Schizosaccharomyces pombe: one gene and its partner. The protein of the gene in region 1 interacts with the protein of each later gene in a pairwise test. Each region holds a gene or a part of one and is shown in the gene's direction. Other genes may lie near its edges.

Region 1 (5,514 bases):
ATTTGCTTTTCCCATTAGGGAGACCTCTTTGGGTTTCATAGGAGAAACACACACATCTTCTTCTGAATTCAATGAATTTGAAAAAGAATTGAAAGAAATTTCTTCTTCTGCAATAGAGGGCTGAAAACGAACATGATTTCCATTAGAAGAACTGCTATAAGAATTAGAAGATCTATGTCGTTTGAAAGATGAATAGGCAGGATCCTGGTGAGAGGATGGGTAAGAATAAGAAGAATAAAACCTAGGACGGCGGACACTTGGCTGAGGGGGAAGCATCTCTCGGCGTTTATACGATAATAATACAGGAAAAAAGACAAACCGGCATAGACCCCAAAAAAAACTTGCAAGGGTAAACTCTTTCTCTTCATTCAAAAAGTGGTACAAAAATACACGAGCGGAATGAACGAAAAACGTATAAATTCGTTTCAGGAACACACGAATCCAGTAGACGACAACACGCATAATGTTGGCATGCTTCGGTTTTTCATTCCTTGTAGGAACTTCCTTTTCCGTCGGTTTTGATGACAAACTGCTAAGGCTGGACGCCGAATAAGACGATCTACGACGATTATAATGCCTCAAAGTAGCTGATGAAGCTCGCCCCCGAGCATTAGCAAGTTTTTCTTTGTCAGCTTCATCGTCGTCTAAAGGAGTGGCAAGGATTGCTTTATTAATTTCATCTGATAGCCTAGCAATCGAATTCATTACAATTATTTTCTCTCTGCTGCGATTGCAAAGAATTAAAAAATTCACCAAAAGAAGCGATGCATACAAAGTATACAACGACCAAGCAGAGTCCTTTTAGTAAAAAAGAGTAATTAATTAAATATGTGTTAGTTAGACCTAAAATATGTGGGAAAACAAAGCCAGAATCACACGGTGGTACGATGCACAATATATATAATGATGAACTACAACCCAAATAATAACATTTTCATAAGACGTAATGCTTAAGAAGATATATCAAAACTACCTTAAAGTAACAAATTTAAATGTAAACAATACGGTGTAAATATTTATTAAGTTCGTAAAATGAAAGTTCATTGCAGAAGCTTTCATTTTTTTTAACTAATAAACTTTACTTGTATGGGTTTCTGTGCAAGAAAAATTAATTTTCATTTTATTAAAAGTCTAAATATTTGTAGAAGCTAGCTTAATTGCCATTCTTTTAATCAACGTTTTGCTAGAATGTAAGTCGCCGAGCGGTCTTTTTAGGTTTCTTGACATTACTTGAAAGATGCTTTTAAGTCTAAATATATTTAATGGTACGTTAAAATGTATCAAGCTCCTTTAGACGTTGCATACAATAAATTACTTACAAATAACAGGCTGAACTAACTTATTGACTTTACAAAATTATAAACATATCGATAAAATTGGTTAAGCGGACACTAAAGAGAATTCAAAACACTTGCTAATCTGAATATTGCACTCTTCCTCAGGTATCAGCACCTCCTTACGTATTTTTTATGAAAAGGGAAAACTGGGCTAATGCAACATTCGTAAACCAATTTATCTATTGCTAAATCATTCCAAAATCGTAAGCGTTTGCATTTCATTGTAAAGGAGATTGTTTTGTTGCTGTGTTAATCTACATGTAATTGATAGCAGCTTAGAGACTTCGGAGAAGAACTCCTCTCCTACTTGAACACTGTCTTATGACTAATTTAAGTATTACTTTTAAACTTCATCTTTTTCTAGTAAAGAGAAATTCTCAGTTAACATAAATCAATAAATTGTTCAATTGAAAGCATGTAGTCGGTAGGAGTTATATTTTATATAATTATATAATGGTTTAAAGATAGCACTTTAAATATATTATAGTATAACAATAAAGTCAAGTTCTTAACTATAGGTGAAATTACTCCAGCATTGCTTCCTTGAAACACTGATTACTTGCTTTGTCGCTAGGTTGCTCTTGTATTGTCGTTAGATGTGTTTTTGTAAACACAATTCAATCTAATTTTATTTTTCTAATTATCTTCATGTCAACATGGCCTATTGATGCAATTAGTAAAAAACCTAGTGTAAGTTTGGATTATGGAATTATAGGGGCGTGTCAACTTTTAAATCCATCTGGCTATCACAGAGCGGAGAAGGTTGAAAATAATGAATGGACTTTTGCTAGGTATGACTCCTATACGGGCGTCGAGCTTGTTGACTTGGACAAAAGATGGGATATCTTATCTTTAAATCCAAACTACAAACTCCCTAAATTAACTGAGCTTCCTGCTGAGGCCACCAATTCCACGCGTAAAGCGACTAGTAGTTCATTTGGTTTAAGTGTTTGCAGATATGTTCCGCGAAATTTATTTTCTACACTAGCGAAAGAGTCTCAATTAGCTTCTTCTGCTGAGTCTATATATAATCCACATATTTTAAATACTTTTTGCTTGGGTAAAACAGCGCCATCAGATAAAAACAGATACACCACAACTGAATGTCTTGCTTGTAGCAAGATTAGCAATGAAACTGCGGAAAATCTCCTCTTTTTATGCCTCTCGTCTCCATGGATTTTTCGTGCATCTCCGACATTACAAAATACTGCAACTTTTGAAGAATTCCCATTTTACTTGAATGTATCGGCTTTTGAGTTTGCTGAGGATCCAATATGGAAATTCTCACAACCAGTGAGACAATTGGTTTTCTCTAATGGAGAACCAAGTTTGCTCTTCGCATTATCGTCTTGTGAGTTGGTTATATTCCAGGTAACTTATGATTTAATGTTCTTAGATGAGCCAAATACACCTGGATGCTTGTCCGCTATACCTCTGCGTTTTTTGTACGCAGATGATGTTTATAATTCTGACTCGTTTGCTAACGTGTCTGTCCATCCCACCGATAATTCATTTTTTTTAACAACTTCATCATCTGGTAGATGGACCATCTGGCAATTCTTAGATGATGGGTACAGGGAATGCTTCGGTAGTTCTTTCAAAGAGTCTTTGCAACAAGCATTATGTTCTGCACCAACAAGTTCCATTGCTTATCACGAAGAAGAAATAAATCCCGATAATACAATATATAGAGCTAAATGGGAAGAGTATTTTGGCGGTGTCATTTTGCATAATGCTTTTTTTATTCTTCATGTGTCTCTTGGGGAGGTACCTGATTTCCATCTTTTATTCCACTGCAGTTCAGATGTTAGGATTCTACAAGTGGTAAATGAATCTATGCCTATTAAATCTGAGTTTTTCATTTTAACTACCGAGTCCGTCTTGTGGATGGATATTCAACATCCTCAGAAGCCGCTACTTGAATGGAAACATAATAGAAAATTAGATCCTACTTTGAAAATTACGGTTACCGCTACTTTTTCTCAAAACATCTATGTCTCTGTTTATTCTCAAATGAATGGTGTTGTCCAACAAATTCATTTTTCAAAAGACAGAGCTCTACCTGTATCAGGTAGTCATCCATTTCTATTATTAAATGAGGTTCAGGTTCCCATAAGATCCCTCATTATACAACCTTGTTATTTTTTTGAGTCATCTGAATTTGACAGACAAGGTCCTTTTGATTCACCTTTTTGGTCTGCAATAATTGATAAGGCTGACGGATCTCTTTCCTTACATATTCTTTGCGAAAAAAGTTCTCTTAAAATATATAATTTAGAGGAGCTTACTGGTTCTAGCCAAGTTGCTATGAAATTTAAAACTATCACCCCTTCTGTAAACACTAGTGAAGATGATTCGGCAAATGATCAAGAAATAATAAGCACTCCGAATTCCGATTTTCAACAATTATCACTGTCACGGTTATACCATGTTTTGTGCTCTAATAGGAACAAAAAGAATACTATCACCCTTGATGAATTCGCTAGCAAAGTTCCGGATTTTGTAGAAGCTTTTGATTCTATCAATCACGATGTTATAATAACTTTGAGTGAGTTATATGACGGATTTCCTTTGAAAGGAACCTTTACTAATGTAGCTGAGATCATAAGTCATTTAGAAGGTACAGAACTATCATTTTATTTTCCTTATATGTTTGGTATTAACTACAACAATGCTTCTTTCTTTTATACTTCCGTGGACTCAATTGCTAGTTTAATACACAGGCGCTGGGAATCTAATACTGATAAGTCTGTCGAAATTCCTTGCTTTCAGTCTTCTCAAAGAAGATCTATAAAAAATGTTATTCACTATTTATTTCTTTCTTCTATAGGAGTCTCCAGGGAAAAAATATTTGATCCATCATTGTCTCGAAAGGAAATCGATTCAACCGACTTGCTTACATTTATCAAACCTTTTTATGATACGGAAGGCCTGGAGCTGAATGAAGATGTTAGAAATATTTTGGAGAATTGGGAGATTGGAAAGATATCTTCAACTTATGTCATTGGTGATAGCGCTGTCGAAACGGAGGATCCATCATCTAGCCAATTTAGTGATTTCTACATTTCACAACAGCAGTCTTCTGTACTTCCCTCAAGCCAAATTGCGACAGTCTTTTCTCAAGAAGATGTTCCTAATTTTTCATCGCTATACTCGGAGAGTTCTAGCCAAACTATCCCAATAATGTCACAAGTCGTTAGTGGCAAATATGGTTCTCGTCCTTCCAAAAAGAAAAAGAAAAGAAGCGGATTTTAAATCCACCCGTATTTATTTATCTGTAAGTGATTTGTTTACAACTTGGGGAATAATTTGCTTGAGTTATTGATACTATACCAATGCTTGGACATAAGGTTGGTAGTAAATTATTTGCATATATTATGAAATTGCTAAAATTTAAAATTTTTTTTTCTATAATGTTTATAGAACTTTCAAATTTTATATCTTAGTTAGCCTTTGTAAGTCAATAAAAGTAAGTAATAATTAATTGTCTGCATGTCATGCTAATTTATGCTCTGACAAATTATTTTAACTAAGCCATTTTATGCCCTTATCCATTGCTGTATTCTATAGTTATAAAATTATTTTTGTGTCAGAGATTATCTTGCCGTAGACATGCTACTAAACGCATGTTGCAAAAAGAATTTGTGGCCAAGAAATGGTTCAACTATATTTAGAAGATTTGCTCTTAAACTTCGTCCTTATCAAGAAGAATGCCTCAGTGCCTGCTTAAACGCTTTTGATGAAGGTAAACGTCGAATTGCTGTTTCATTAGCTACAGGCTCTGGTAAAACGGTATTACTGTTCTACTACTGACTGCAATATTAACACGTCTAAAGGCATTGTTTCCCCACTTTATAAAATATGCACCTACTTTAAGGCCAAACTCTGAGCAATGTCTAATTTTGGTTCACAGAAAGGAGTTAGCTTTACAGGCCCTCAAGCATTGCCGAGAAAGCCTTCCGAATAAGGTACCGTTCTTTTTCCAAATAGATTCCACGCTGTTTCGTTTACTAACTTTGCCATAGTCTATTGAGATTGATATGGGCAATCAGTGTGCATCCGGACTGGCTGATGTTACCGTTGCGTCAGTTTTTTCTTTAAAAAATGAAAGACTACTTAAATATAATCCTCTCAATTTTAAACTTTTAATTTTTGATGAAGTTCACCATATGGCGTC
Region 2 (5,660 bases), on another chromosome or scaffold:
TGTATAACCGAAATGGTTAATTCAAGAAGATAAGCATGTAAGCATATGTAACCTGGAGCGAAATATATGACATTATCAGGTAATTCGAAAGAGAATTGCAAAGCTAAAAAAGAATGATAGCATGATAAAAACTCGAAAAAGAATCCACCTGTAGAAGACTTAAAGCGACGCATCCATGCTCGTGTGAATTCAATAGGCTGCCTATTGTAACCTATAGTAAAAGGCGTTGAAGTTCGTTTTGGGTAATACGGATGCATAGTCGAGGAAAATTGGTCAGTAAAAAATGGCGCAAGATACTTATGTGAAATAATCATTATTTTTTCGTCGAAGGATGAGCCCAAAGCATCAATGTACTTTTTCTTTACATCTAATGCGCTCAAGAAATGGTCGGCAAAAAGTGGAAGTTGAAAAAAGGAGAGAACCAAGATACTCGCACAAAATGTCGTTAATGAATACGGCAAGGACTTTTGAGAAAGCAGATGAACTACAAATGTCAATGTATCGTAAAGTATTAATTGGTGTTCCAAGTACAATAAAGCAGAGTGTTCCACTTTGTTCCAACAATGATGCTTGGCGATAGCAAGTATGGCCTTTGTATATGTGATACGTTCTGAAGTAGAAATATTAGATTGTAAACGTCGAAGAATGGATACCCACCAGTTATACAAAGAATGCCTAAGTTTATCCAATTCCGGTTCGGAAACGTTTTTAGTGGTTAAAGAAGCCAAATGTGGTAATAAAAACCCTCTTATAAGAACTACCTTATCAGAATCCTGCTGATTAATAAAATTGATGAATTGCTCGGATAAAGGACACTTTATTGGAGAAACCAGTGGCTCCGAAAGACGTAAGGTAGATTGGACGGCCTTATTTATTAAGCTAGAAGGCGCTATCTCCTCCGCATTAAGGCGTAGGCTTTGAGAAGACAACTGAGAAAAAGGAGAGGTAGAACGAGAAGAGGAATCAGAAGATGATGATGAGGGTGATTCGTTGTAAGGCTCATTTAAGATTGTTGAGGAATGGCTTACTAAAGTGTTTTCATATTTACCATAATCATCTGTAATCGAAAATGGTTCAAAGTTCGAATCAAGGTCGTCAGCTACAAGCACATTGGTTGTATCGACGGGATCATGTTCCTGAATACATTTTACCACAACAGGATAGTTTTTTGTTTGGGAACCCGAATGCTCTTCCTCTTTAAAGGAGGCTGTATTGGGAGGACCCATAATAGCGGCAAGGATCTCATATCGTGATTGAAAGTCACCCATTCAGAATTTCAGAAATGAAGCTAAATGTAAAGAAAAGAATAAGTGTGAAATGCAAATAAAAAGAATATAATTAATCCCTAGATTAAAACCAAATTAATTAACATGAGCCGTGCAATCACCACTAATAAAGAAATGAAGATTTAAAGGACAAGCTATGCAAATGCCAGAAAAAAATGTACCAAATATGCTAAAAGATGCTCAAAAGTTTTTCCTACAGTAGAGAAATTTTGACTTTTTTAATTTTTTAAAAACTTTATCGATAAAAGACAGAGAAATCGGTAACCAAAAGATTCGCGGTTAAAAAAACAAGAAAAATACTTCCGAGTTTAGAATACTTGTATTCTAAAAGAATGAAAAGTAAACAAGTAGAAGATATCTTTAAATTAAATATATGAAATCCGCAATGTAAATTAGCATCCCCAACACTTTCGTTCACACCCAGTGTAGATGCTTGGTTAAGGCTGAGTTTCCGAACCCACCAGCTTGAGGGTATACGGCTACATATGACATATATTTCAGTAGACAAACATAATAAAACCAATAATTAAAATTGTTTTTTTAAGCTAAATGAAAAGACATTTGAAATTTTAAGCTGTATTGTCTTACAGCTTCAACTCAGTGTTCATACAATGCCAATCTCCTTTTGGTAGTTAGTACCCAACAATCGCCTAAACCAAATAGAACCCGCCAACTTACCAAACAAAACGGAATATAAGGACAGAGAATAACTATATGCAACGGATTATAAATAACTGATATTGAGTTTTCTTTTAGATCAAATATTTCAAGTTTAATGTTGGGGAATCGCGAATGATAAAGTTAAGCAATACAATAGGTCAGTATGCGTTTTCGATTGAATGATTCATTCTCCGGAAAGAGTTGGACCATAGATAATGTACAATGGACTCCCCAAAATCTTGTAGCTTGGATTATGGAGCTCAATATTGGACTTAGTGATGAAGCAAAACTATTATTGCCGAACGGAATGTCTTTGAATGAAACCGTACTAAATAGTGAAAGTGATGTGGTTATTTACGTACTAGATCAAAACTTGTTGACTTTCACCTACGATGGTGATAAAATTCCTTCTATTCCTTCTCTGAAAGGACAACCAATATCTAATGTACTTACTGGGATTATAGCTGATTCTTCTTCAGATCAATGGAAAGATAAAATCAGCAAGTGTCTTTCATTATTATCTGATATTTTAGAGTCTTCTTCAAAGATTCATAATCAATTAAGCGTATGCCATGATGAGTATTCTACTAGTATTGTTTCTCCAGAAGTTGCAATGAATTATTTACAAAGAAGACAATCTGGTATGAAAGATTTACTTTTCGTTTTCTACGAAAGACTAGATCGAGTATCTGTGTCTGATTTACTTCATGATTTCCTCGCTCTACCAACTGGTTCTTTACCCATTACTCCTCTTAAAATACTTTCAACAAATTGGACTAAATTGGACTCCTGGTTAAACTCCATTTCAGCTCGTTATGCTGAAGCTCAAAAACGAGTCCAACAGTGCATTGGCGCCGCAAATAGTATTATCGTTTCCCCATTCAAGGAAGTTCCTTCAATCAAGGAAGGAGATGATGCTTATTATCATCTACGTTCCGTCGCTCAGGATGCAGCCAATATATTGCAAGAGATCCTTAAAATAGAGTCAACTTCAACTACTTCTCAAATCAAACCAAAATGTAATTACGAAACCGAAATTACTGATTGCATGGAAAAACTTCAAAGTAATCTGTCGGAATTAAAAAGTTCTAGAAAGTCATCACTAATATCTTTGAAATCTTTTTGGCTTTCCTTTTATAAGGTTTCTCTTAGATATGATGCATTGTACGAATATCTTCGACAAATAGCAGAAGAGCTTGACAGAAGCAAATTCGTTCTTTCTCAGTCTCGAAACATTTTTTCGCTATATATCGACATTTTAATGGAGGCACTGAGGAGGACTGAATGGCAGGAATCATACAATGTAAGCCATGATAGTTCTCTTCCTTTAGACCAGGAGAAGGAGCTTTCTCTTAGGAAGTCTTGGCTCAGTCATTTCTCTAATTTGCTTTTTAATCATGGCCAGCTAAAGTACTTACCAGTTTTAACTCGTGACGAAATTTCTAATTATTTACTCAATATTCAAGCACATCCGAATTACCAAACTTTTCATCAAATGCTAAGCAATCGGCTCTCAGAATATTTGGGCTTTCCTGGAAGTCCTCGAGAAGCCGTTTCCAATACGGTTCAAGCGAACAATTCATTACATGAAAAATTGGCAATGTATCAAAATCGTTGCAATAATTTAGAGGCAATGTTAAGCCATCAAAACGGCTTTAATTATAACATTAACAATGATGGTTTATCTCCAAATGCTCCACATCCACCCATCAATGAGCAGTCTAATTCTTCTCAGCCATTTTACCGTGTTTCCCCTAGTATTGTGCCTCTAAACGTAATTCGTAAATTAACTAATCGCAAAACTTCTTTTACCGACAGCCACATATTACGACTTCAAGATGAGGTTAATCAATTACGCAACGAATTAGATTTGGTAAATAAAAGAAATGAGGACTTATTAATTGAGCTTCAAGGGAAGGAAGAAAAGATCCAATACCTCGAAACTGAAAATGAGGAAGTGCTACAAAAATACGAAAATTTACAGGAGGAACTTTCATCAACACGGAAACTGCTTACGAAAAATGAAGCGGCAGTTGCAGAACAGCAATCAAACGAGGAGATGCATTCTAATGAACCGAACATATTAAACCTTTACTCCGTATTTGAGGGCAAAGTTGATAGCTTGCAAGAACTTTATAATGCTTTCAAGCTTCAACTCACGAGTTTGAAGCAAAAGGGCGAATACGCTACTCTTGCAAAAGATGCCGAAGCAGTACAACATATTATTGAAGAGAGAGATTATGCTCTTGCAGAGAAAGCTGATTTACTCAAACTTTCCGAGAATCGAAAAGAACAATGTAAGATATTAACTCAGAAACTTTATACCATTGTATTCCGGTGTAATGAGTTACAGTCTGTTCTTCGGGAATGCGTTACTCAGCCTGGATTTGATTCAGATAACGAAAGAGATGGCCATGCATCGATTCCAGATCGCCAAATTGAATTTAATTCCAAAGATTTACAGTATCTTTATTGGATGGATGGGGAGGATGCTGATAGGAATTTCCAGGAATTTTTGAACAGAATGAGTTCTTTAGATTTTGACTCTTTCCATAACTTTGTTGTCAGTGTTTTGACTCAAGCACATAATCATGAACTTCGTTGGAAACGTGAATTTCAATCTAACAGGGACAAGGCGCTGAAAGCTATTTTGGACTCTCAAAGTAAAGTCTCATTAAGGAATTTCAAACAAGGATCCTTGGTCTTGTTTTTGCCTACTCGACGTACCGCCGGTAACAAAAAGGTGTGGGCGGCTTTTAATGTTAACGCTCCTCATTATTATTTGAACACTCAACCGCATTTGAAACTTGAAAGCCGCGACTGGATGTTAGGAAGGGTAACTTCCATTGAAGATCGTACTGCTGATGATTCGACGGATAAATGGCTTCGCCTGCCTTCAGGTACAATATGGCATTTAGTGGAAGCTATCGATGAAAGATTTTAAATCATTATGTGACCTAGCTTATACCTTCACTTGCTTTTTCTTTGCTTGTATTTGTGGGACTGATTCTATATGACAGACATTTGGTATTATCATACTTCTATTTTTTCAGGTTTTGATCTGTTATGGCATTATTTACTGAAATTTGTTTTTTGGTCTCGCCTAGTAAGGTATCCGACGTAAATTAACGACTACTATTGCTGTAGCGTGTCTCTCGTCTTGTAACATGATAAATTTTTAATGAACTTTTAATCTATTCGTATATTATTTAATATGTAGAACGCAATCGCTCGCAATAAAAGTGATTTGCAAATATTATTTATCACACCGAACAACGCACTGGTGGTAAGGAGTACCTTATGTAAATTGCTTTGTGTAGTGTGTCCCATCAAAGTACAACCTGGAATTATGATTCCCTCAAAAAATATCCAAAAGATCAAGTTGGTTACGTTCGATGCTTTTGGAACAATCCTTCATTTAAGTAAACCTGTTCCAATTGTGTACAGCGAAGTCGCTCAGAAGTATGGAGTTCATGCAACTATTGATGAAATTGAACACAATAGTAATAAAGGTTAGCTTTTGGTTTCTATTTATCTAATAATTTAGCATTCAAGGATTTCAGTGAAAAGCATAAGAATCATGGAAAAAAGTCAGGATTAAATCCTCATGACTGGTGGATCAAAGTATGTGTCTGAATTTCATTGAGATTTGTGTTTTGTAAAGAATTGAATCTCTTGATTTCTAAAAAACCTTTACATGCTAACAATTTTAGG

Evidence for each region.
Region 2: the proteins of rrn6 (region 1) and atg11 interact in a two-hybrid assay, tested with the Schizosaccharomyces pombe proteins (2 studies listed by BioGRID).

What each region holds. Positions count from the first base shown.
Region 1 is NC_003423.3:3,368,656-3,374,169, reverse strand, and holds rrn6 (RNA polymerase I transcription factor subunit Rrn6), read left to right. Parts: upstream 1-1,882; 5' UTR 1,883-1,985; coding exon 1,986-4,592; 3' UTR 4,593-4,873; downstream 4,874-5,514. Other genes in the region: Nem1-Spo7 phosphatase complex catalytic subunit Nem1, read right to left, coding at 1-705; ATP-dependent DNA helicase Irc3, read left to right, coding at 4,950-5,129, 5,174-5,305, 5,363-5,514.
Region 2 is NC_003424.3:2,629,819-2,635,478, reverse strand, and holds atg11 (autophagy associated protein kinase regulator Atg11), read left to right. Parts: upstream 1-1,927; 5' UTR 1,928-2,109; coding exon 2,110-4,890; 3' UTR 4,891-5,031; downstream 5,032-5,660. Other genes in the region: protein ahk1, read right to left, coding at 1-1,268; SPOM_SPAC7D4.05 (hydrolase), read left to right, coding at 5,296-5,458, 5,494-5,570, 5,660-5,660. UniProt on the Schizosaccharomyces pombe protein: Involved in cytoplasm to vacuole transport (Cvt), pexophagy, mitophagy and nucleophagy. Recruits mitochondria for their selective degradation via autophagy (mitophagy) during starvation.